Arabidopsis thaliana: one gene and its partners. The protein of the gene in region 3 interacts with the protein of the main gene of each other region in a pairwise test. Each region holds a gene or a part of one and is shown on either strand. Other genes may lie near its edges.

Evidence for each region.
Region 1: the proteins of AT1G29950 (region 3) and AT5G09460 interact in a two-hybrid assay, tested with the Arabidopsis thaliana proteins (one large-scale study listed by BioGRID).
Region 2: the proteins of AT1G29950 (region 3) and SAC51 interact in a two-hybrid assay, tested with the Arabidopsis thaliana proteins (one large-scale study listed by BioGRID).

What each region holds. Positions count from the first base shown.
Region 1 is NC_003076.8:2,942,044-2,950,752, forward strand, and holds AT5G09460 (transcription factor bHLH143), read right to left. Parts: upstream 4,797-8,709; 5' UTR 4,645-4,796; intron 4,307-4,644; 5' UTR 3,812-4,306; intron 3,710-3,811; 5' UTR 3,534-3,709; intron 3,418-3,533; 5' UTR 3,375-3,417; coding exon 2,394-3,374; 3' UTR 1,695-2,393; downstream 1-1,694. Other genes in the region: AT5G09450 (Tetratricopeptide repeat (TPR)-like superfamily protein), read left to right, coding at 1-233, 376-1,281; DIC3 (dicarboxylate carrier 3), read right to left, coding at 7,198-7,784, 8,044-8,470.
Region 2 is NC_003076.8:25,728,641-25,736,863, forward strand, and holds SAC51 (transcription factor SAC51), read right to left. Parts: upstream 4,674-8,223; 5' UTR 4,508-4,673; intron 4,184-4,507; 5' UTR 3,688-4,183; intron 3,590-3,687; 5' UTR 3,426-3,589; intron 3,340-3,425; 5' UTR 3,297-3,339; coding exon 2,250-3,296; 3' UTR 1,695-2,249; downstream 1-1,694. Other genes in the region: Phototropic-responsive NPH3 family protein, read left to right, coding at 10-855, 936-1,214, 1,286-1,585; FKBP12 (FK506-binding protein 12), read right to left, coding at 6,170-6,271, 6,421-6,473, 6,587-6,648, 6,830-6,863, 7,263-7,350.
Region 3 is NC_003070.9:10,488,461-10,496,725, reverse strand, and holds AT1G29950 (basic helix-loop-helix (bHLH) DNA-binding superfamily protein), read right to left. Parts: upstream 5,029-8,265; 5' UTR 4,893-5,028; intron 4,752-4,892; exon of another isoform or gene 4,372-4,751; intron 4,291-4,371; 5' UTR 3,829-4,290; intron 3,661-3,828; 5' UTR 3,266-3,660; coding exon 2,510-3,265; 3' UTR 2,128-2,509; downstream 1-2,127. Other genes in the region: AT1G29960 (Peptidase S24/S26A/S26B/S26C family protein), read right to left, coding at 875-922, 1,051-1,161, 1,475-1,699, 1,788-1,913.

The DNA.
Region 1 (8,709 bases), on a different chromosome or scaffold from region 3:
CACGATTCTCCAAGTCGTACAATGCTGACGCAGCAATCGGAAACTCCCTTGTCGAGGAATCGGAGGAGAAAGACGATCTGAAGAGCAGGATTTTCAGATTGAGACTTCCGAAACGTAGCGCGACTACTGTTCTCGAGAAATGGATTGGAGAAGGGAATCAAATGACTATCAATGAACTCCGAGAGATCTCCAAAGAGCTTAGGAGAACTCGCCGTTACAAGCACGCTCTTGAGGTACTAACATCGATCATTTCCTTTTTCATTGGTTTTTCTTCGTAGCTCCTAGTTTCTAGATTGATTGCACAATTTATGATTTGTTATGTGTTGCTGCACAAAACTGCATTCTTCTGGGAGCTAATTCAAGTATTATTAACAGGTTACAGAGTGGATGGTACAGCATGAAGAATCAAAGATCTCAGATGCTGATTACGCCTCACGCATAGATCTGATTTCAAAAGTTTTCGGGATCGATGCAGCTGAACGCTACTTTGAAGGTCTGGATATAGATTCAAAGACAGCTGAAACCTATACTTCTCTCCTTCATGCTTATGCTGCCTCCAAACAAACCGAACGAGCCGAGGCCTTGTTCAAGAGAATCATTGAGAGTGATAGTCTCACTTTTGGTGCCATCACATACAACGAGATGATGACTTTATACATGTCAGTTGGGCAAGTTGAGAAAGTACCTGAGGTTATTGAAGTGTTAAAGCAGAAAAAGGTTTCTCCGGATATTTTTACTTATAATTTGTGGCTAAGTTCATGTGCTGCAACCTTTAATATAGATGAGCTTAGAAAGATTCTTGAAGAGATGAGGCATGATGCTAGTTCCAATGAGGGTTGGGTTCGGTATATCGATCTTACTAGCATCTACATAAACAGTAGTAGAGTAACTAATGCAGAGTCTACTTTGCCTGTCGAAGCTGAGAAATCTATTTCGCAAAGAGAATGGATCACATATGACTTCCTTATGATTCTGCACACTGGTCTAGGGAACAAGGTTATGATAGATCAGATTTGGAAGTCTTTGAGAAACACCAACCAGATATTGAGTAGTAGAAGCTACATTTGTGTTCTTTCATCTTATCTAATGCTTGGTCATTTGAGAGAAGCCGAGGAGATTATCCATCAGTGGAAAGAGTCTAAAACGACAGAGTTTGATGCTTCTGCTTGCTTGAGGATCTTGAATGCTTTTCGAGATGTTGGTTTAGAGGGAATAGCCAGCGGCTTTCACTTGATCTTGGTGCATAACAAATGCAGCTTGGAGAATGAAGGATCATCTTAAGATGGAGAAATAAGTTGGTGAAAATTTTATGCTCTTAGCAAGAAGAATCAGATCAAGCTCATTAATCATGGTGGATGAATAAAATAGAGGTTTCTTCTCTTCACTGTGATTCTTAAATATCTTTTTGTTCTTTACGTGGGAGGTCATGAGACACATAGATTTCCTCACCAGAAGATTTTGCTGCATAGTCGGAAGATGTGTTTCCTTAGGCAAGGTCCATAACATTTCATATGTAACGTCAAATTTCAAAAAGTCCAAATTTTACAACAAAAAATAGATTGTGGAGGTTTTTCTTGTATGGTTGTTGTTTAATAATAAGTCTACAAAATTTGTTTTTGGTATAGAAAAAATGATAGTTTGAAAGGTTAGAGCAAAATCCTAGCATGTAAGAAGCCAAAGAAGGTTCCATTATTAACACTCGAGTTTATTACATGAACATGATACACAAACATGTTTAGACCCATGAGAGAAACAACAGAAGCAAATAACATTACAATAGTACAAAACTACAAGGCCTTTGAAGAGCTTAAGAGCCAGAGAGATTAGAAAAAACAAAAAAGATGACAAGTTATGGGATTGATAGCAACAGAAGAGTAATAATGAGACAAGAGAGAGTGGGGACATAGATTTTCACCTAATGAAAGTGGGAAGATTTCAATTTCCACAAGTCACAACCACTCCAAAAATTTCAATATTTGCCTTTTTGATTTTTCTTCATCCACACCCACCACCACCAGACCTTCACAGAGATATTATTATTACTCACGAGTAAAGATAATTATTAACGATCAATGAGCACCAAGACTTTGCTTTTTTCCCTTCTTTCACTTTTCTTCCACTCCAAGCACAGAAGAAAGTGACTTTTTTTTGGTTCTTTTTTGAGAGAGCATGCCAAATCCAAAAGTAAACCACTATTGATCCAGCTAGATGAACAGTGGATACGGTCCCACTAGGGTCACCAGGCGTGTTCTAATTGTTTCAAACCCACGTTAATGAATTTGAGAGAATCTTCTTCATCAGTCCTTTACCTCATTGATTATCTTTTGTCCCATGTCTTCTCTTTAACCAACCAAACATGCCTTATCAATAGGACAAAAGGGGTTGTAGGTTTTTCACCAATGGTTATTCAAACCCTTTGATGAGTTTAAGCTTTGCTTCAGCAACTTGAGGTAATCAATGGCTTCGTCTAGTAGTAAAAGAGCTTCTTTTCCCTTTGCCCCTGGAACTACACTCTCCAGGATTCTCAGAGCGGTGTGAATCTTGTCTTTTCTTGACTGCTCGTCGCTCAAACCAGAACCCGTTTCTTGTTTGCTTGAAATGTTTGATTCAGGAAGGTTTTCATCTGATAAGCCTTTGACTTTAGTGGTGCCCACAAGGGATGGTGATGAGTCTCTGTACGAATGGTCCAGTAGTTTCTGTCTTTTAAGAAGTGGACCATCAACAGTGCTTTCAGTTTCATCCAGCTCTTCTGTTGTTATGTTGCACGCTTGTTGTTCAACTGTGAATGGAGAGTGACCAGTGCTCATTACTTCATCATCACTTTCCCAATCATCATTATCGTCATCATCAGAATACAGTAACGCGTTGATTTCCTCAGTGTCTTCGTGCATTTCCGAGTCTTCTTCGCCATTTTCATGATCTTCATGTTGCAATATCTTTTCTTGAATGGCATGATCTTTACTAAACCCTTTCTCTGGGTGTAGGGCACCGAGAATGTTCCCTCGCTCTGCATCCATAGAAGAAGGAAACCGCAGAGGAAATCCACATTGTAACAAACGAGTCTGCTCTCCCGACTGATCGAATACTATAAATCTTTTCCGAGAAGACTTGAGTGCCCCCTCTGGAGCAGCACCGTTGCTAGATCGCCCATTCAAACATGAAACTTGTTTTCCACAAGACTGCTGATCATATCTAGACAATAAGGCTTGGAACGGTGGCTGCAAATAGCGAAACTGATGCTCAGCTGCATAAACTTTACCGAGTTCCGGAAAAGGAATTCCAGGACGGAAATACTCAGTCGCCTTGTCCTGGACACAAGCTTGAGGATTTAAGCCTAATGGCAACCATTTCTGCTGTTTGGTATCAAGAGGCATGCTCTTGCAGTTTAAGCCAAGGGAACTTTACAGGAATACAATACTGCACGAAAAAGGAAAGGGACTAATCATTGGACATGGCTATGAATGAGACAACTACTAGTAGCCCAACTCAAGAAAGCAATAATCCATAAAGAGTCAAAGATTCAGTTAGCATACCGATTGTGGAAGCTGTTGCTCAAATGTGTGGAACGCAACACTTGTTGATTCTTTCTTGAAACAATCGTATAAGAAAGTAGAGACAAAAAGAAAAAAGGTGCCAGCTCCAAAAATACAAACACAAGCTCACAAACCAACTACGTCACTGGTTTGAGTATATGTCTAAAGTATTCAGCCTGCAAGTGGAACAGAGACAAAAGTGTTAGATAAGAAACACAGGACTATGAGATGAAATGTGACAAAAAAAAGAGTATAATATCATTTTTGCTGCAACAAACCTGACAATTATCCATCGGTTGGAAGCAAGCAATAACTCTCACTACAATTGTTGGTCTGCTAGAGTCTCCGTTGTTCTCGTACTTGAATGTTCGAAATCTTGTTTGACCAGCTGATTGACTTACCATAATAATAACTTTTCCAAACTCTCGAATGTAAAACTAGTGTTTCTCCACAGAACAGAGTAAGTCACCAAAAGACAGATGACTTGAAGAAGAAAAAGAGAAGCTTTAAGGGTTTAGATGATCCTATACTGGTCACAGTGGAAAACGTAGAAACGTTGGGATCCCATTATTAAAGAGTTTAGAAAAGGCTGAGGATTTAGAAGAAGATTGAAGATGGGGTTTTTCAAGGCAGAGAAAAAGTTTACAGAATAACTCGGCAATACAGATTCAAGCTCACAACTTTACGGTACACATCAACAGACCTTGTGAACCAACTCATGCTGTTTTTCTCATTCACTGCTTTGTTGTGATCCAGAGAAAGAGAGAAGAATTCTGTTACAAAACAGAGAATCATCTCATCAAATTCCAGTAATAACAAACCAAAGAAACCAAACATTCACAACAATTGAAAGGATAGAGAAACCATAAACAGCAGAAGAAGATAAGTACATGTTCTGCAGCATTGAACAAGTATAATTTATTTTAGCAAAATCAAGAACTAAAAGCTTGGATTTTGCAAGCCAAGCTACGAAAATAGAAGAATTTATCCGTTTTGGTAACGATTTAAACACATTTGCATCAAATTCGCTGATAATTCAACTTTTTCGAGGAATAAAAAAACAGAGAGAGCACAGCGACAAACAATGGTTAAGTGAATCCAAGAAGCGTACATGGAGGAAAACAGAGGAAGATCTATGCGTGGAGATCCAGAGAGAGTGGAGAGGTTTATGAGACGAATTCACGAAAGCTTGAACGGATAAGAAACGAGAAAGCGGAATATTATTTCGAAAATATATTTTTAGCAAATTCACTAAAAGTGGGCGTGAAGACTGAAGTGTGTGACATTGCTTTATACATCTTCTTATTTCTTGTGACGATTTTACCCTTTTCCACCACTTTATTTACCGTCAATAATGGAGACCAGGAAAAGAAAAAGAAAAAGAAAAAAACAGTTCACATCAACCAAGTTTATTTCAGATTTTTTTTTTTTTTTTTTCATTTTTCTTTCTCTTCCAAAATTTAGATAACCAAGCTGGAACATCAACTCTAAAAACTCATTTGAGCAAAACATAACACCATCTCCATTGCCCAACTTTATTTTCTTCTATTTTAATATTAACTCAATTTAAGAAGAAATATAATTAATTTTACTCTATTATATATTTTAGAATAGAGTTACTACTAAAATAGAAGAAAAATGTAGAGATTACTCTATAAATAGAACAAAAGACAACTTACTCTATATTTGTTTTCTATTTTAGAGAAAACTTTATTTTAGAGTCATACAATGAAATAAAATACCTTTAAAATAGAGTCAATTTTAAAATAGAAGAAAAAATAGAATTGAACATTGGATATAGTCTTATTATTTTGATTTTTTACTATTCTTTTTAGTAGAAATTAAAACTAAAATACACTTTAGTATGAGTTTCAATTCATATTTCTAACACATATTTTTTATAAAGAAAAATTAAATTTATTTAATTCAGTTCAATTTAAATTTATTTTAGAAAATACATATAGTATAATTTAAAATGCATATAATTTTGAATTGAATGGTAGAAATAATCTAAATATTTTTATTAGTTTGGATGGTTGCAATGGGACGAGGAGTAGAGGAGGTGGAACGTAGAATATATGTAATTATGATGTATAATGGCAAACCCTCGCGATCCATAATTTCAAGCCATAAATTAATAATTATGTAATATCATAAACGTGAGAATTTCTTAGTAGTTCGTTAAAGTAAAGCCATTATATGTTCGTCTTCTTTTTAACTTTTTTTTTTTTTTTGGGGGGGGGGGCAACGTTTTTTCTTTATAATTATGAGCCAAATAGTGGAAGTGAGTTTTTAACCATTTTGGTGGTTTCTATAATCATTATTTTTAAAGTATTAACCTTTCTTTTTAGGTGTGTGGGTGGGATGATTTGGAACATTTATGTCTTTACGATGACGCGATACAAATTGAACTATATACATTGTAACATATTTGACTAGTTTAGTAGCTAGCTAAATAATACAATATTTTTGACGTGGCTTATAAAACACCAATTTAGCCCACTCGTTTTTTCATATATAATTACGAACTATTGTACATGATATTTTAATAAGTGATTGAGGTGAAAAACGTTGGAGCATCCACCAAATTCCATGATCATAGGAGAAAGAAAAGAAAACGAATAAAGAGGTAAGCAAGTTTGGTGAAAGAAGAAAAAAAAAGAAAAAGAGAAAGAGACGCAAGTGAATGATTAAAAAAATGCACAGGGAATTAAGTGCTTAATTGCCTTGATGACTTCTTTTTCTTTTTGGAACATTTTTTCTAAAGATTTTAATTTCTCGTTGAATCTTTTTTCTTTATTTTGATGTGATATGAGATTTGAGAATAGTCGTTGCCGTGTGAGATCAGTGGACCCAAATGCCTACTATGTACTTCAAAATTCTTAAAATTTTAGGAAACAATTATTATGTGTTCTATTCGGAAGCAAATCATTGAAACATGTTAAAAGAAAGACAGTTAGATAGAAATTTCAGTGTGAAAAAACAAAACATAGAAATTTCAGTTCACATAATTGAGACTGGGCTTTGGTTAGATGAGTGGAGTGGCCATGCAAAATGGAGCCTAAACATGGCCTTGGACTTATTTTGGGCCATGTCTCAGCTTTGGATAACTCTTATACAATCTCATAAAACAAACACCAAATTGCCACCAGCTTCAAACTCAAGTAAAAAAACTTTAGAAAGATTTTATTTCTCTTTTATAGAGATAATATGATCAAAGTCAATAAAAGAAAAACATTATTGTTAATCTTATTTTCTTATAATTTTTTGCATAATTTCTAATTTAGATTTTTACAAACAAACAAAAGAAATTGTAATTTAGAAGCGATATTTCATATTTTCTGTCAACCAAGAAAATAGAACATAGTACCCAAAGAAAAAAAGGAATATACCAAATGAAGGTCCCCAGCAAAAGTATATCCCCCAAGTCCAAGAGACTTGGACCGTCCGAAAAAGTCCCTTTGCTTCAATCACTATCAGTTTTCGCATTTACTAAAAAAAATATTTGTGCAAATAAATAATTTATTTTTATACAAAAATCTCTAGTAAATATTACCTTAATCGCTATATAATTATTTTCAAAATATTTTAAACGTATATGAAATGTATGAAGAAATATGGGAATCTCAAACATTTATTAACCTAACTACTTGAAAAAAATTAATCAAAATTTAACGTCTTTTAACAGACCACGAACTTGTTCCAAGGTAAGGAACAAGATCATCGTGAACGGTCCTTGCCTCGTCGCCGTCGGAACAAGCCCTTTGTACAAAGCCATTGGTCCTTCCTCTGCCACCATCTTCACCGCACAATCCAACGGTCCACCGTAAATCTCCTTATCCGCATTCATCATCCTCGTCTTCACAACGTCGATGGGATTCGACGCCACCGCCGCGACGATCCCCGCCGCAAAACTCGCCGCTACATGCGTTCCTATCCCTCCCGGCGTTCCACGGCCACCAGCTACCAAGATTTCTTTGACGTGATCATACGTAGCGAGCTGAGAAGCTGTCACGATCATGGCACGGTTCACGGTTAGCCATGAGCCACGCCATAAACTTGAAACGCCTTCTTGCCTTGCGATCCTGTCGATCGCGTCCACGACGCTCTTGTAGTTTCTGCGACGGTTTAACGGCAAGCTTCCGTCGGCTTGCATTCTCACCATCGCCACGTCAGCAGGATTCCCGACGACTGATCCAACGGCTCCTGCGATGAGTCCAGCTGTGATCTTGGTTACCAATGGGAAGTTACCTGTTTGGAATTATCGTTTACGTTTAATTTATTTGATCTTTTGTGTAATAATATGGAAAAAATTCGAACCAAACAAACCGAAACTGTTTAAGATCGAAACCGAACCAGCATTTGTTTATAAATCCATTGGTTTTCTTATTTAAAACCAATAACCGAGAACTGTAAACGACTTTTAGTGTAATCAAACCAAACCAAACCGAATAAAAACCAAAATTATTTTTTGAGTAATATTGTTGCCGATCGAGTTTAGTATTATTACCGGTGAGTTGATCAGTCCACCTTCGTTTAAGAAAGTCGTATATACCCATACGGGTGGCAGAGTAAAGCATCTGACGGAGGATGGTGGCGGAGACGCCGGAGAAGAGAGCGGCGGGTCCTTCGGTTTTGACAATGTGTGCCCCTACGGCGAAAGGGGTCATGACGGAGCGCGTGGAAGAAGACGGCGCGTGAATGTGTAAGGGTAATAAGGAAATGCTGCCGATGAGAGAGTCAAGAGCGAAAACGGGTCGGTAAGGTTTCACGGGAAGATTATGATCAAGGCTAAGATTAGGGTTAGGGTTTTGGTCGAGCGAGAAAGAATGTTCGCCTTGAAGCTGCATACGGACTTTGATGAGGTCTAATGGGTGAGTCAGAGCTCCGGCGATGATTGCGGCGATGCCACCTTCAAGAAATGGTTTGAAGCCCATTGAAACGATTACCGGAGGATTTTATTGTAAGGAGAGAATGTTTTGAGGAATGGGAATTGAAAGAAAAGAAGAGTTTGGGAGATAATAGATCTTTTGTAATAAAATGTTTGGAGAAGAAGAAATGAAATTGAACAAGTTGGAATGGAAGAAGACAAACTACTTGAGAAGAAAATAATGCAACGAGTAGTTGTGTTTGTGTACTAGTCCTGAATTACGGGTTCCAGCTTTTAGCACAATGT
Region 2 (8,223 bases), on a different chromosome or scaffold from region 3:
TTGAAACAGGTGAAAGGTATGAGATTTGAACTACTCGGAGCTGTAATAATGCATTACGCCGGAAAATGGCTTCCGGGTTTGATCAAAGAAGGAGGAGTTGCAATAGCTCCAGCAATGTCCTCCGCCATTGGAGGAGGATTAGGTTTAGGAGGAGACGAAATGAGTATAAGCTGCGGAAGCAACAGCAGCGGAGGAAGCTCCGGACCAGATTGGAAAGGCGGTCTTCATATGGTTCTCTCCGCCGGAAAAACAAACGGACATCAAGATTCCGTCGCTTGTCTCGCCGGACTAGGAATCAGTCCAAAAGACCAACGAATGATCGTCGAATCTTTAATCAGCATAATCCCTCCACAGAAAGATTCCGTCACTTGTAGCTTCCTCCTCCGTCTTCTTAGAGCAGCAAACATGCTCAAAGTAGCTCCGGCGTTGATCACGGAGCTCGAGAAACGCGTAGGGATGCAATTCGAACAAGCGACGCTTCAAGATCTTTTGATTCCTGGTTATAACAATAAAGGAGAGACAATGTACGATGTTGATCTTGTTCAGAGATTGTTGGAACATTTTCTTGTGCAAGAACAGACGGAAGGATCGAGTCCGAGTCGAATGTCGCCGTCGCCGTCGCAGTCTATGTACGCCGATATCCCGAGAGGGAATAACAACAATGGTGGTGGTGGTGGTGGTAATAATCAGAATGCGAAAATGAGAGTGGCGAGGCTTGTGGATAGTTATCTCACCGAAGTTGCTAGAGATCGGAATTTGCCGTTGACAAAGTTTCAGGTTTTGGCTGAGGCGTTACCGGAATCTGCTAGGACTTGTGACGATGGACTATACAGAGCCATTGATTCATATCTCAAGGTATATATATATTGAAGGTCTTTTTGGTAAATTCGTAGAATAGTTTTCAACATTTTTTTGGCTTAATTTTGTTGTGATAGGCGCATCCGACATTATCGGAGCATGAGAGGAAACGGCTATGCCGAGTGATGGATTGTCAAAAACTATCAATGGACGCATGTATGCACGCGGCTCAGAACGAGAGGTTGCCATTGAGAGTGGTGGTTCAAGTTCTCTTCTCGGAGCAAGTCAAGATCAGCAATGCTTTAGCCAACACATCACTCAAGGAGTCAACCACTTTAGGAGAAGCCATGGGTACGTATCAGCCTATGATCCCAAATCGCAAGACATTGATCGAAGCAACACCACAATCGTTTCAGGCAAGTAAGAGAAAACACTCATCAAAATTCACACAAATTCCTTTTTTCTAATTCCTCTACTTTGAATGCAGGAAGGATGGGCTGCAGCCAAGAAGGATATTAACACGTTGAAGTTCGAGTTAGAGACGGTGAAGACCAAGTACGTCGAGCTTCAGAACGAGATGGAAGTGATGCAACGACAGTTTGAGAAGACGGGGAAAGTGAAGAACACGCCATCTTCTTCGGCTTGGACCAGCGGTTGGAAGAAGCTAAGTAAACTGACTAAGATGAGTGGACAGGAGAGCCATGACATATCCTCTGGAGGAGAACAAGCTGGTGTTGATCATCCACCCCCCAGGAAACCAAGACGATGGAGGAACTCAATTTCATGAAGTGATAGTGATGGTTTTGTATCTTCTTGATTTTGATTCTTTGAAAAGAAAAAGCTTTTGTTTGTTCCTAATTTGTAATGTTTATTGGTTTCTAATATGGAATAAGTGACATAAACGATTCGATTTTTATCACAAACCAAAAAACGCCATTTGTTTATTACAAAACCATTTAACAATACAACAATAGAGACACAACAATACCAGTAGCATGTGGGTTGAAGCAAAAGACAAAGGAATAGTTTGCATTATTACAGACACTCAAATTAATTACATGAACATGACATCAATATTTCATAAAAATCATGGACCCATCTAGTCATCATATGGACAAAAGAGTGTGTGTGGGTCAGAGATATTTTATTACCTTAGGGGAGATTCATAGATCACGCGAGCTTGAGATGAGACTTTGAATATTTGCCTTTTGATTTCACCATCCACACTCAGCCAAAAAAGATAATCATTGTCCATCAATGACCATGACGACTTTGGCTTTTCATTCCACACAGAGAGAAGAAGAAAGTGACCTCTTTTCTTCTTTAACTTTTTGAAATTTGCAGTAGCATATATAATACTTAAAAGTAGTCCACTATATACAGCTAAAAAGCTGGTGCAGAGGATACGTACCCAAAAACCCACTTCACACGTTTTAACTCGTCAGAATCTTTCACGCCTTATCTGTCTGCAGATTTCTTGTTCCCCATGTTGTCTCTTTAAGCAACAAGATTGGTGACTTGTGAGTGGTGGAGCTTTGGTTCTTAACCTCTGTGGAGATTAAGTCTCGTTTCAGCAACTTTAGGTAATCAATTGCTTCGTCCAGAAGTAAGAGCGCTTCGTTTCCTTTTGCACCAGGGACTACGCTCTCGAGTATTTTCAGAGCTGTGCGGATCTTGTCTTTCTTCGACTGCTCGTTGCTCAGACCAGAACCAGTGTCCTCTTTGGTCGATATGGTTTTTGATTCAGGGAGCTTTTTGTCCTTAAGAAAGGAAGATCCATTGAGTTGTGTGGAGCTCTCAGTGCCCACAAGTGATGATAAGTCGCTGATGTTGTTGACCTTATCCAGTAGTTTCTGCCTTTTACAAGGACCATCGATTTCTTCTAATTCCCTTTTGTTGCAAACTCCTTCATTTGGATAAGGAGAGTGACCAGTGCTCATTACTTCATCATCACTCTCGCAATCATCATCATAATCATCATCTGAATATAGCAATGCATTGATCTCCTCAGTGTCTTCATGCATTTCTGACTCTGTTCCATCACTCTTGTGAAACTCTTCACCATCTTCTTTGAAAGCTTTCTCTATACCTTGTAACTCAGAGAGTTTCACTGGTTCTGCAGCCGCATGAGATGGAAACCGTAGAGGAAATGGACATTGTAATAGACGAGTCTGGTCTCCTGACTGATCGAATATCAAAAGTCTTTTCTGAGAAGACTCTAATGCTCCAAGTGGAGTAGTAGTAGTAGTAGCAGCAGCGCACCAAGACCGCATGTCAGACCGTGAGAATCTTTTTCCATAAGACTCCTTATCATGACTGCACAGCAAAGACTGGAATGGTGGTGGCTGCAAACAGCGAGCCTGAAGCTTAGCTGCATATAGTTTCCCAAGCTCAGGGAGAGGAATTCTAGGAAGGACAGACCGACCTACTATATCCTTGAAGCAAGCTTGAGGACTTAAGCCCAGAGGCAAATCCCGTTGCCTCTTATCCAGAGGCATGCTCTTAGCAGTTTAGCTCAAGGGAACTTCAAAAAGTACAACACTGCAGGACAAAACAGAGGCAAAAATCAGCTCAAGAAAGATAAAGTCAGTAATATCACAAGCGTAATTAGAGGGAAAAGAGCATACCGATTGTTAAGTTGCTCAACTGAGTGAATGCAATACTTCTTGTGTCCTTTTCGAGAAAATAGTAAAAGAAAGACGAACGAAAAACAATCACAGATTGAAAAATGCAGCGAAATGTCACCAACCAACTACGTGACTGGTTTGAGTAGAAGTCTGAAGTACTCAGCCTGAAACACAAAGAATAATCACAAAACCACAGTGTTAGAAGACTAGAACTATATAAGCTAAAAGTATGATAACAAGAGCATTATTGTCTGGTACAAACCTGGCAATTATCCATCGGTTGATAGCATTCAATAACTCTCACTACAATTGTTGATTCGTTAGCGTTTCCGGTCTCGTACTTCAATCCTCGAAATCTTGTCTTACCAGGTGATTGGCACACCATAACTTTGAGGAAATCTTGATTGAAGAAAGTAGACAGATACCAAAACCAAAAGGAGGAAAGTTTTGTTTGTGGAAGGAGAGTGAGCTTTTAGTCTAGCTGATTCTTTGTTCACAATGGTACACATAGAAATGTTGTGATCCCATTTTCAAAAGTGTTTATAATATACCGAAAAAGAAGGGAAGATGAATAAGAAAGAAAAGGATTTGACTCTTGAAGGTGTTGCTTCAAAGGTGAAACAATCTACAGTATCACACGGCAATACAGATTCAAGCTCAAAACTTTACGGTATACGGCAATACACATGCTGTTTTCTCTTTCTCTTCCTCTTATACACACTCTAATTGATTCTGATCACTCAAACCTACTTTAGTATCTGTGCAAAAAGTCGAAGGAAGAATCTCATCAGCACCAAAAATGAGCTAAATCCAGAGATCAAAAACAGTAAAGGACATAGATTTATAAACGTCTAGCAAGTGGGTGTATTCACAGCATCAATTCCAGCAAAATTACGCTACATTTTACTATTACAACTCAGAATATACACAAATCACAATGTTCTAAGCTAGATTCAGACATAAATTACAGAACTTTACCATTTCACAAACGACTCAAACCGTTTTTAACCACAGTCTCCAGATACACAAACAGAGAGAACAGTGACACAGACTATAAGAGAGAAAAATTGGATTTTGATTACCTTAGAAAGGAATGATCTTTCGGTCAGATCCAGAGAAAACGATGAGACTTTTTTGTTTTTTTTTGAGCTGAATCAATGGAAAAGCAAAGGGATAAGAGAGATGAAAGTGACCAACGAACAATAATGTCTAAACGGAGAATTTTTTTTTACGAAATATTTCTAAAGAGGTGAGTGGCAACAAGAGTAACAAGGCTTTATAAAAAGATTTTATGACGCTTTTGCCCTTTTCATTACTTTATTTTACCAATTCACATTCTCAATTTTTTCGGTTTTTTGTTTGTTCTATATATCGAAATTAATTTTCATTCTATATTTTTTTAAAAGAAAAAAACTAAGATACGCAAAAGGTAACATAATTTAAGTTGTACAATTTGAATTTTTAATTATTTAGAGGAAAAATATGTGTAACTTGGAAATTAATCTAGTAATTAAAAACGGTGGCAATGTTTATATTTGTGCTTTGCTTGAAAGAAATGGGACAAGGGGGCCGAACGTGTATATACGTAATTATGGTATATATGATGACAAAGTCTCACGGTCCATAATTTCAGGTTATACTTTATCATTAAATAATATTTTTCTAACCAATATAATTTTTTAATATATACTTAATTCGTTAAAGTAAAAGTTCATACGTTTTCTCTTATTTATTTTAAAAGCTAAGTTAGTGAAAGTGTGGTCGAGCTTTATTATATCCTTAATTATTTTCTAAATAAATACTATTTCAGGTTATAATCCCTCTTTAATTTTATTGAAAGCTAAGTTAGTGAAAGTGTGCTCAAGCTTTTTTTCATCCTTAATTATATTTTAATAGTACATTTGTTCAGGTGCGGTGTTGTGTGTGTTTCAAACACCCATTGTGACGGAAAAGAATAAAAGCTAACCACTCTTTTTAATTGTTTAATTTAAATTGACAATTTAGCATCTATCTAGCTTATACAACGCCAAAATTAGCTCAATACTTTTGTTTTATTTTTAAAAATATTATGTAGACTTTCATTTATGTTAAAAGTTATTATTCATAAAAGGACTTATGTGATTGGGGAATGTGGGTGAAAAGAAAAAGAAAAGTAAAAAGAATGAAAATGAAAATGGAGAAAAGAAAAAGAAAAAAGAAGCATAAGTGATGATTAAAGAATTGCACGGGAATTTTAAGTGCTTAATTACCCGCACGACTTCTCTCGCGTCTCTCTCTTTTTTCTTCCTTTCTTTTGTTAACTTATGTATCTTGTCTGAAAAAGTTTTTAACTTTAGTCTTTTTTCTTCCTTTGATTTGATATTAAGAACAGTAATTTATACTGTGTTTTGAATTAGAAGTGGTCAATTCAAATTTCATTATGGTTGAGACCATTTGCTTTGGGTCTGATATGTCATTAAGATTGAAGTTTTAGTTTGATTCTTTTGTGCTTTTTATTGGCATTTTGATTGAATAAACAAAACCATTTTAATCAAAATAAAAAAACGGGAATAATATCATAATATAGTACAAACATTCCAACTGAAACACGAGACGGGTCTTTTCTTTTATTTAGATAAAAACGTTGTCCAAGAGTTTTAGAAGAGCAATGACATCACAAAGTTTTGTTGCATAAAGATCCCAGAAGCAATAAACATAAAGGGTTGTTTAATAATCTACCCACAGTTTAGGAGCTGGGGAGATCATTACTGCACGCTCAGTACTTCGATTTCAAAGTCGAGAACAGAGTTTGGCTGGATCCCCCATGCCGGAAATCCACCAGCGCCATATGCGTAATCCGATGAGCACTGCAGAAGCAGATAAGATCGCAAGCCAAAGATGTTAAACATATAACGAAACACCCAAACTATCATGAAAGACAAAAGTGCTTCAACAGAGAGCCATAAAAGCATAGATGGCAAAGAGGAACATGATGAGAGAAGCAGAGTATACATACCCGCAAGCGAGCAACCTCTCCAATTTGCATTCCGATAACGCCTTCATCCCATCCTGTAAGCAAAGTTAAACAATCGAATCATATGATGTTCACTCGCCAAAAAAGAGGCAAATAGGTTCAGAGATATGATATGATTAACCATAAAACAGAGTAAGTAAGTTTATACCTTTGATCACAGCACCTTTACCGATTTGGAACGAGAAAGGTTTTTGTCCCTCGTCCTTTGTACTATAATGATATACCAAAGAACAAAACACAGTTAGGCTCAAGGAAATACCAAATTAAATAAGTCTTTTAAGACGAAACATATTGATTTATAAACTGAGTATGCGTAGATGATAAGAACAAGTAAGTGTAATTATCTTTTTATTGATCCTAGAATCAAAGCTTACAATAAAGAATTATTTACCTCCAGAACTTCTGGGATAGATCACCATCTTTCCCTGCCAAAAAAAACACACACACAAGAGAAATAAGATTCTCAAACAAATTCATTTCAATTCCACACAAGAAACTGGATTATAAGATAAACAAGATTCTTTAATTAAACCTACAAATAGAAAATCTAAACAAGAGATCTATTCGTATGAAGTTTCAGATGAGCAGACAAATAATCTCGCAGAACAGCAAAATTACAGATTAATTATGACCTAAGTGTTACTATCACCACCCAGAATAGAACATAAACCCTAATTAAATCTATTTCACATCATAGAAAACAAACAAATAGCGAGTACGACTACCACAACACATCAAATAGCTCTTCAACAAAGCAGATTTGTATAGATCGATTTAGCCTATCATGGAATTTTCAAAGATATAAATATGCAGAGGAAAGTTACCGAATCCGGTGCAATGGACGGTGACGGTTTGGCCCGGAGCGGGTTTGGGACCGTTGCCGGGTCTGATGACTTGCTTCTCCACACCCATCTCTATATCTTCTCTCTGTCTCTCTCACTGTTTCGCGTTCTTTGCAGCTTCGAATCTCGGAGTAGCTTTTGCCTATATATTTTGTTATTTATCAATTATCATGCTGTTTGATCTAAACCCTATCTGGGCCTAACAATAATCCAAAACCCAATTCGATGAAATTTAGGCCCATTATTTATTCTTTCTCAAAGGTGGATAATATAATACTGTACCAGACCGAATTAAGAAGCAGAATCTAGCCCAAAACTATTTTTTACTTCGGATTCATCAAATTCAAGCCCAGACTTGTAGCTATCAAAATTTCCTTCGCATTTTTGAAAGATACATGGTCAAGAAGACAGAGCAATATAGATACAACGAACCTTCTTCATCACAATTACAGAAAAAATGATTATGTAGATATCATGTTTAGAGCCTAAACGGCTAAACAGTTCCATCATTAATGTCTTAAACAAGCTTTTATGAACAGACAATGGAACCTTCACTGCGCAACTGGAGCGTATAAAAGCCAGATAACGTGCACGAATCACCTCTTGGATAGCTTCTGTATCTTCTAGATTCTGCAGAATACTCATTACAGGTAAGTGAGAATACCTAGCTACTATGACTACACAAAAAAAACTCTACATAGCCGTTTAGGTCTTTACCTTAGACCCCAGCAAGAAATTCTTGACAAAAAGCTTACTTGTTTTCCTTACCTTTCAAAGCATCAAGGATGAATGAAGCAAGCAATGTGTGTTGTCACTTTCCCTCTTCGTTTGTCAGTCCAGAACACAACAAGTTATCTAGTGAATGAACAGAAGCAGCAATTACGACATGGAAACCACCTATGTTTTGCAATTTGCTGCTCTATGGCCTTTTGAGTTGGAGGAA
Region 3 (8,265 bases):
GAGAAAAACAAAATTATGAGTTTATTGGCTATAAAAAAATAAGAGAAATTTAAACTAAGTATTTGTTTGCTGTTTTTGGCTTTAGCCAAGGAATATGTTTTTTTTGTGGGTGCAAGATAGGGTTTATATAGATGGAAAAATGGTAGTAATTTAAATTGCATAAAAGTTAGTCAATTCTTAGATTAATGTTTGGAAGGTTGGTAATATTGATTATCCGCATAGTTATGGTTGATTGATAACAATTGTTAATGTTGGATGTAGAGACTTTGACTGGAAAAACTTTTTTTGTAAGGACTTTGACTATATAAATTTTTATAACCAATTGGTAAAAATTGTGATAGTCGAAACTACGATTTTAAATAACTATCAAATATGTGGGAAAACAGAAAATAAATCACAATGATTGTTTTAAAAATTATTTGACACACAATTAAGAAAATCCCTACAGTTTGGCTTGACAAACTTGACGTTACCACCAATTGGTATCACCATGATTGATTTAAGTGAAAATAGAGCAATCTTTAAAATGTGGGGAAATGCTATTGATCAAGTAGTATTTTTAAATGGTTATAAGATTTTCCCATGAATAATCTTGGCTTCACACAAAACATTCGATGTTTGTTTTAACTTTTTGATACAGAGGCGACTCTCACATACAGCGTCAGACCAAAAATACATAATGTTACGTGCTCTCAAGTCTAAACCATATACTCACTTTTCCTGAGCGTTTAGATTCTCCCATCTTCGTGAATGGTATGATGATCCTGCATCTCATAGTCAGTCATGAGCCAGACTCACTCGGCAACAACGATTAACCATACTACCAATCTGCCTCGGTCATCTCATTGGCCTAATGACCAAGCTAACTCGTATGCTAAGTTGGGGTTGGTCCAAGCGGTCCAAAATCTTGAAATGGCCAAACCTACACATTATTATACATACCGAAGATTAGCCAAATAGATTTACCAAAACAAATGCAAATAACACATTTGAAGTTCCGAAATCAGATAATCTAACTATATTTGTAAGTTAATGACAAAAAGTTTATACCCTCCAAAGCACTCTGCCTTGAATAAGACCGTAAGGTACAGTACCAAAGTTTCTTGAGTCTCGTGAGTTATGAGTATAGTCACCTTGAACAAAGACATGTCCTTTAGGAACCTAAAACCAAAAAAACATCGAAAGATCAATTCGCCATTAATCCAACAAACTAAACAATCCAAAGGAAATTGTAATATACACCAATAACACTAACGTTGCTAAAAGATTCAAAATTTTCCATGAATTGCAATCAGCTAAATCGAGCTCAATACTAATTAACAACTTGTTTCAACTCTGATCACTCAATTTCTCAACAATGTATCTACCTTCTTCAAACTCAGTTCTCTAAGTACAACATTCAAAAATCTCATCCATAAGCAAAACCAAAGTGAAGTGAAGTCAACAAGGAAGAAGGTTAAGTAACAAAACATACCACAATGGTTTGAGATTCATCACTCTTCCTTGAATCAATCACAAAGCTTATACAATCACCTTCAATACCAATAACTCTTTTAATTGGAGTCTTATTAGGGTTTTCTGGAGATCGTATCACAACTATATCTCCACGACTCGGTTTCTGATACCGCTTCGAGATTCTCTCCGCTAATAACACATTTCCCGAAGGATGAAGCGTCGGAGTCATGCTCGGACCATAAGCCTGCTCAAAAAGACTACATCTTTATGGTAAATTTTCAATAACGAATTCGATTTACACCAAAAAAGAAGAGAGATTTCGATTGACTCACATAAGCCATGAATCCGAGATAGTTTGTTGTTACATGAAGAAAGCAGTAGAGTTTCGCGAGTAACACGCCGCTTTTCATGGCTTCTCGTGAAGCTGTGTTCCAGAAAGACGACGACGGAGTCGCCATTGCCTATTTCTTCAACTGAATCCAACGAATCGAGATTTGAGAACTACACAAAGTCTGCAGATTTCACGAAAGTGTGAAGCTTTGAGACGAATCGTTGAGCTATACTGTGTAAAATAAAATGTAATCATAACCCAATTTATAAACCCGGTTATTTAATAACCCAGTTAATTTCCATCAGAAATTGAATTTTGGTTACGTATAGGACCCGTTTTATGGTATAAGCGTGACTTTTCAAAATGATGGCCCTTACATTGTTCAGTAGAAGGAAGACCAAATGTTTAAAACTATGTAGAAGCAAATACATAATGATAATTGTAGTTCATAGTCAAATGATTACAGTGAAAGTAAAACCATACAAATTAAAATCTCAAATCAAATCCACAAGTACTTGTTCAAACCTTGCTTCTTCATCGAAGCAGTAACACACAAAAAGCAAAATACATAGAGAGATTCAAACATAAAATAGATACCATCCTGCCAACAAAAGGAAGTGAGTATAGAGGGAGGAAAATAAAGAGAAAGGTCCAGATAGCGCTAGACCGATGATTTACCTCCCGAGAAACAATAGTGATGGAAGAACCGAATATCGGTAGCATTCAAGATTGGTTTGAGAAATGTCCAACGCCAAGTTTCTGAGCTTCGATTTTAAGTGACTTGAGATACTGAACAGCTTCATCAAGAACGCAAGCTGTATTCATCTGTTCTCCTCCAGGGACAATTCTCCTCAATACTCCCATCATCTTCTTCATCTTTTTACGTCCTTTCCCATCATTGTTACTACTACTAGCACTGCCCGATAAACTCTGCTTCCTTGAGTTGTTGTTGTTGTTGTTGTTGTAACCATAACTGGAACAACAAGATTCTGCTGTGGTGTTTCCATAATCCCTGGAAGAAGTACGAGCAGTGCTGACTTCTTCTGAATCACCACCATCCTCTTCACCTTCATTATCATCATTCTCTTCATAATCTTCATCTGCGCTCAAGAGAGCATCGATCTCATTTGGATCTTCTTGATAAGAAGAGGATACTTCTTGCTCATAGTTACCATAGTTACCATAACTTCCCCCAACATACTCGTTCTGAAACGTCGAAGCTAAATTGTTCAACGAAGGGGTATTCATGAGCTTATGAGTCAGCTCAGGATGGTACATCACTTGGCTGCGGTCATATGTTTGATCGAAGATGACAAAGTTCTTTGGACAGACCGCAGACGGTTGAAGTTCAACACCATGGTATGGCAACTTTGCACATGGTGGGAACAAAGCATCATAGGATGACCCTGATGCATACGGGTTGTGCATATTTCTGTCACCCACTTCATCTGAGAAGTGAGGAAACTGATTGTTCTGCATCAGAAAACCCGTGCAAACGTAAAAAAGGAAACGCAAAGAGAAAAACAAGTTGTACACCTCAAACTGCAAGCTGCTTGAATATTTTCTACTACCGATTTGTCGCCTTTGTAAGCTTCCAGCTGCTCAGTTACTACTACACTAAGTTGACACACGGAACCAAATGCTATATCAAGTTATGGCCATCATACTAAAGATATCACGAGTTTCCACCAGAGCCCTTACCCCCCAAACCAGAAGCTCCCCCACAGACAGCTCTTCAGAATACCAGACTCTTTAACAACTCACAGTAAATTTTTTCGAAATCAAAAGTAGATAGCCGCTCAAAACCCCAATTTCCGAAAACTCCAGACGCTAGACTACGTTACAGGCTTAAGCAACTGTCTGAAATATTCAGCCTGCAATGATTTATAAGAAAGGTTGAATATCAGAAAAACTATGGTTAATACTCTAACAAATAGCTATCCACATGTCATCAAGAGGATAGAGTTCTTTTAATGACATAAATCAGTGTTGCCTAAGCGATAGAAGTGTTAGGAAATACTAAATCAAAGAGAGGCATGTACCTGGCAAACTTGAACGGATTGGTAATTAGCAATGAAACATGTAGTCATCATAAAAGTTCCTATTTCCTTCAATGATCGGTTTCCCTTCTTGTTTCCAACAATGCACATTCTCACAAACTAACCAGTATAATAAGCACAACAACAAAGAACTATTCCGAATTCCGGAAACAACACCTGCAAAACAAGGAAGAGATGCCAATAGTTTTAACACAAGAAGCTGTATATAAGGTGGCAACAACAAAATTTGCTTCCACAAGGTACCAATGTAAGACAAAAACACAAGATGTGAAATGAGAGGCTGGCTCACCTGAAAGGAACAAAATTACAGAATAACGAGGAAAAAGACAACCAGACGAGTGCAAGTTCTGTTGAAAAACATGAAGAATGCTGTCCAGGGCATCTTTGGTTCTTCCAATATCAAATTTGTAAGTGTATTAAATACCGTTCCTCTTCTCACAAACTCTGCACAAACAAACAAAAATTAGGACCAACGCTATTCAAATACTAATATATTTTCAGTATAGGAAGTTGAAAGGCACTAACTTCGAGGTAGAATCCTAAAATAACTACTGGCAAAACAAAACAGAGAAACAAAAAAATGGGAAATTTCTAATTCCTGATTCAGATAATAAAAAAGCACAACTTTAGGCATCTGCGTACAACAAACAAAAAGATAGGATCATGACTAAAGACATTAACATCGGATCCAGAATAAATGTTTTTCGATTTCATGATCACAAACCAAAATCAAAATAACTTAACAACTCTGCTTCAAAACAGAACACATAGAGGAAACAAAACCTCAACAAAAGAATTGGACTTGTTAAAAGAAAGAATCTTTACGCGATCATGAATAGTTTATTAATAATAACACAAACAAACATAAACAAGACAGAACATTCAATAGAAAAATCAAATTCAGCAATCATCTGATAAACCATAAAATAGCTATTTATGAGATACCGTCAAAGTACTAATTACAAGACAAAGAAAAAACATATAAGTCCTAATAAGTCAGAAATTGCGGCGGTATAAAGAAAGAAAGAAGCAGAAAACATTCATACCGTAGAAGAAATCAAAAACCCTTTGGATCAAATGAATCGGTGATGCGTAAAAACTAAAGCTTTAGAAGAATCTGATCAAATTCGAAAGAGTGATTTTTTTGTTTTGTTGTTACAGAGGAGAAGAAGAAGAAGATCTAAAGAGAGAATGATGTGTGTGGCAAAAAGAGAGAGAGAAGGGAAGGGTAGAGAAATAAGGAGAAGAGAGCGAGCGAGCGTGGCTTTCTTTTTCTGGTGCGGTTTGTTTTTTTTCGTTTGGTTTGCCCATTTTCATTTCTTTAATCACTCACTCACACACACTACACTAGTCACTACACAAACAAACATTGTTTAAAGTTAATAATTTCGTTTCACGCTTTTCGTGCGTGAATCTACTTGTTTTGTTTTTTCAAATGTGGAGCAAAAAGATGTTTAACTTTACCGCAAATTTTTGGAATTTTCAAAAAAAAAAAATGCACTCCTATTAATTTGATTCATCCAAGATAAAAAGGTAAAAAGCTTGGACAAAATATGTCTTTTTACTTGTTAGATTAGATAAAAAAAAATCTTGGAGTAGAAAGATGACACATTTTTATTAGTAGTGTTATTTAAATCCAACAAAGTATAAGAGTGTCGTGATACCTATATTGTTTCTTAACTTTTTCTCAAACAAAATATTTGTTTCTTAATCTTTTCATAATGTTCAGTTTCTTTAATCTGTTTCTTTCGGCATAAGTAATTCTTTAACTATTTCACTATCTAACTATAAAAGTGGATATTACTATTACAGTAGAAACTCTATAAATTAATACTCGATAAATTAATAAACACGGTAAATTAATAAATTTTGTAGGTTCCAAGTTGTGCCAATATAAAAATTAACCAAAATCAATAAAATAATAAGATAATCATTTTTTTAAAATTCCTATGTAAAATTATAGTCCCAATAATATTATAAATTAATAATTATAGATCTTAAATATATATTTTAAGACTAATTTTTATATGAAATTTTTGTTCAAGCTATAATTACAACTCTTTTTAAAATACAACTGATATGATCTCTGTTGTACTCACATAACTATTTGCGTATTTGATCCGTCATAGTTGATTTTATAAAATCTTTTATTTGAGAAAGCATTACTATGATTTGTGTAAAGAGAAACTGGATTAACTTTCATGTTTACGTTTACGTTCACGTTAATGTCGTAGATATACAAATACAAATCTTACCGAAAATAAATTAAAGAAGTCAAATTAAAATAAAAACCTAACATAATTATATATGCAAACAACAAAGCATATAGAAAATTACATTAAGAAATATTTTTAAAAGAATATAGTATCGTACTTTACGTAAATATTTCTATAAATTAATATTTATTAACTTATACGGTAAATTAATATATATTAATTTAGAGGATAAATTAATATCACTATAAATTAATAAAATTTTATGGCTCACCATTATTAATTTATAGAGTTTTTACTGTATCTAGTAAAATTTACTAAATCACTCTATTTGACCGGTGTCATGCTTTAGATTAGGTCTATTAAAAAACTCATGTATATCACTATGTAAGTGGATAGTAAAAACTCAAACAACTTCTCTTTAGGAAAAAAGAATTACTGTATGTAGAAAATATGTTATCCATTTCTGTAAAGATGGAACACACTATGATTACAGTGTTTAACCCATGTATATCACTATGTAAGTGGATTTTCTTGAATGAAAAGTTTTTTAAAACATAAAAATAAAATAGATGTTATGATAAAATAATAAATAGTGGAAATTAAATGGAAAAAAAAAAACAAGAAGAGGGAGCACGCGTGAGGGGATGGACAGAAGAGAGTCAAACAAGGGAAAGTGTGAGCCGTTGGATGAAACAATCACAAATGGTTTCCGTTTAATGCGGCCTTGATCGTGACCGTTGGTTTGGTTGCTCCTTTAGCACGCGTGAAAAGCTTTTGTGGACCTCTATAGCTCCCACCAAAAAACCAAACTCTCTCTTCTTTGACAATTTTTATTTGTAGTTTTAGAGACGACACAGTGACACACTCTTCTCTCTCTTTGGGCTCTTGTCCCAACCCCATACTTGTTCCAAAGAATATTACTTATTATTTCCAAACCAAACTCATCATTCTTGTCTCTTCACTTTCAGCTGTAATTTTAAGTTTATGTTGGCATGCGTATGCTTGGTAATATTTTTTTATTATTTGATTGGTAAGCGACAAACAACAAGTAAGAATATTTGGTGAGAAAAATAAAAGTAGATATTTGGCAATAAGTAACTAAGGTTTAAAATTAAATAATATATACGAATCGTGTGGGTTTAATTTAAATCATGATTATGGACAGCATTAGTTTCAAAGGAAACCATTCCACACATTGCGAAATAGTTAATCTCATGATGCTGCTTCTTTCTAAATCCATCATTATGTTTCTGTTAAAACTCATTCGATTGAAGTACTGGATGTTTGTTCCAAGTCTTAGTGGAAAAAAAAAGTCTTGTTAAAAGAATCGAGACAATGCAACTAATATTGTACACAAACACCAAACCGTTTCTGAAGCATTGTTATGGATGGCAAAAGTGTTCTTCAACACTTCAACGGAGGTCAAACCTGTTCCTTTTCTGCCTTGTTTAGGGAAAAAATATTCTAAAGCGAAAAGCATTTTTGGTATGAGAATATCCAAGTGCCAAGTGAGAAGATTCAAAGAAAAGTTTAGACGAAAAGCAAATGAATGGAATAAAAAAATATCAATTATAACGGAGTGTTGTTATGTAACTTTGTTAACAGTTGTAAGTAATTTGTAAAACAAACCAAGAGACAAAAGTTTATTTGTAAGGTATAAATTTTTTTTACTGGAAGGTAAAAAAAATGTGTTACACACCAAGTGCTTGAGTGTGGTTTTTAAAAAATGTGTTACAAAGTCATCAATATTCTTGTTGGTACCTTGTTTGCCTTTTGCTTATAACAATTGTCGAGTGTCGAAATGTAAGGGAAATGAAACTTTAGTGTTTTGGGAATGATCTTTGGTATTGGCAACAGACCATTTATAGTGACAAATATCCATTAGTGTTGAGGAATGTCCTTAAGTGCTAACGAAAACGCGTATTAGTGTTGAAGAAAATCTTTCAATGCTGACATAAGACATTTAGTGTTCACGGAAGGCCTTGTTAGTGCTATGGATGGAAAATGCTCTTATTTCTCGTAATATGAAAACTTGCTGCTACTGAAGAAATTGATCTTGATGACTAATTTCTAACTATTATATCACCTTACATTCTCAGAAGTTAAAAATAAAATGCATAAACTTTTTCAAATACAATCAGAATCGGTCAATCCGGTGACCGAAATCAATTATGATGTTTTTGAGAGTTCTGATTGAATTTTC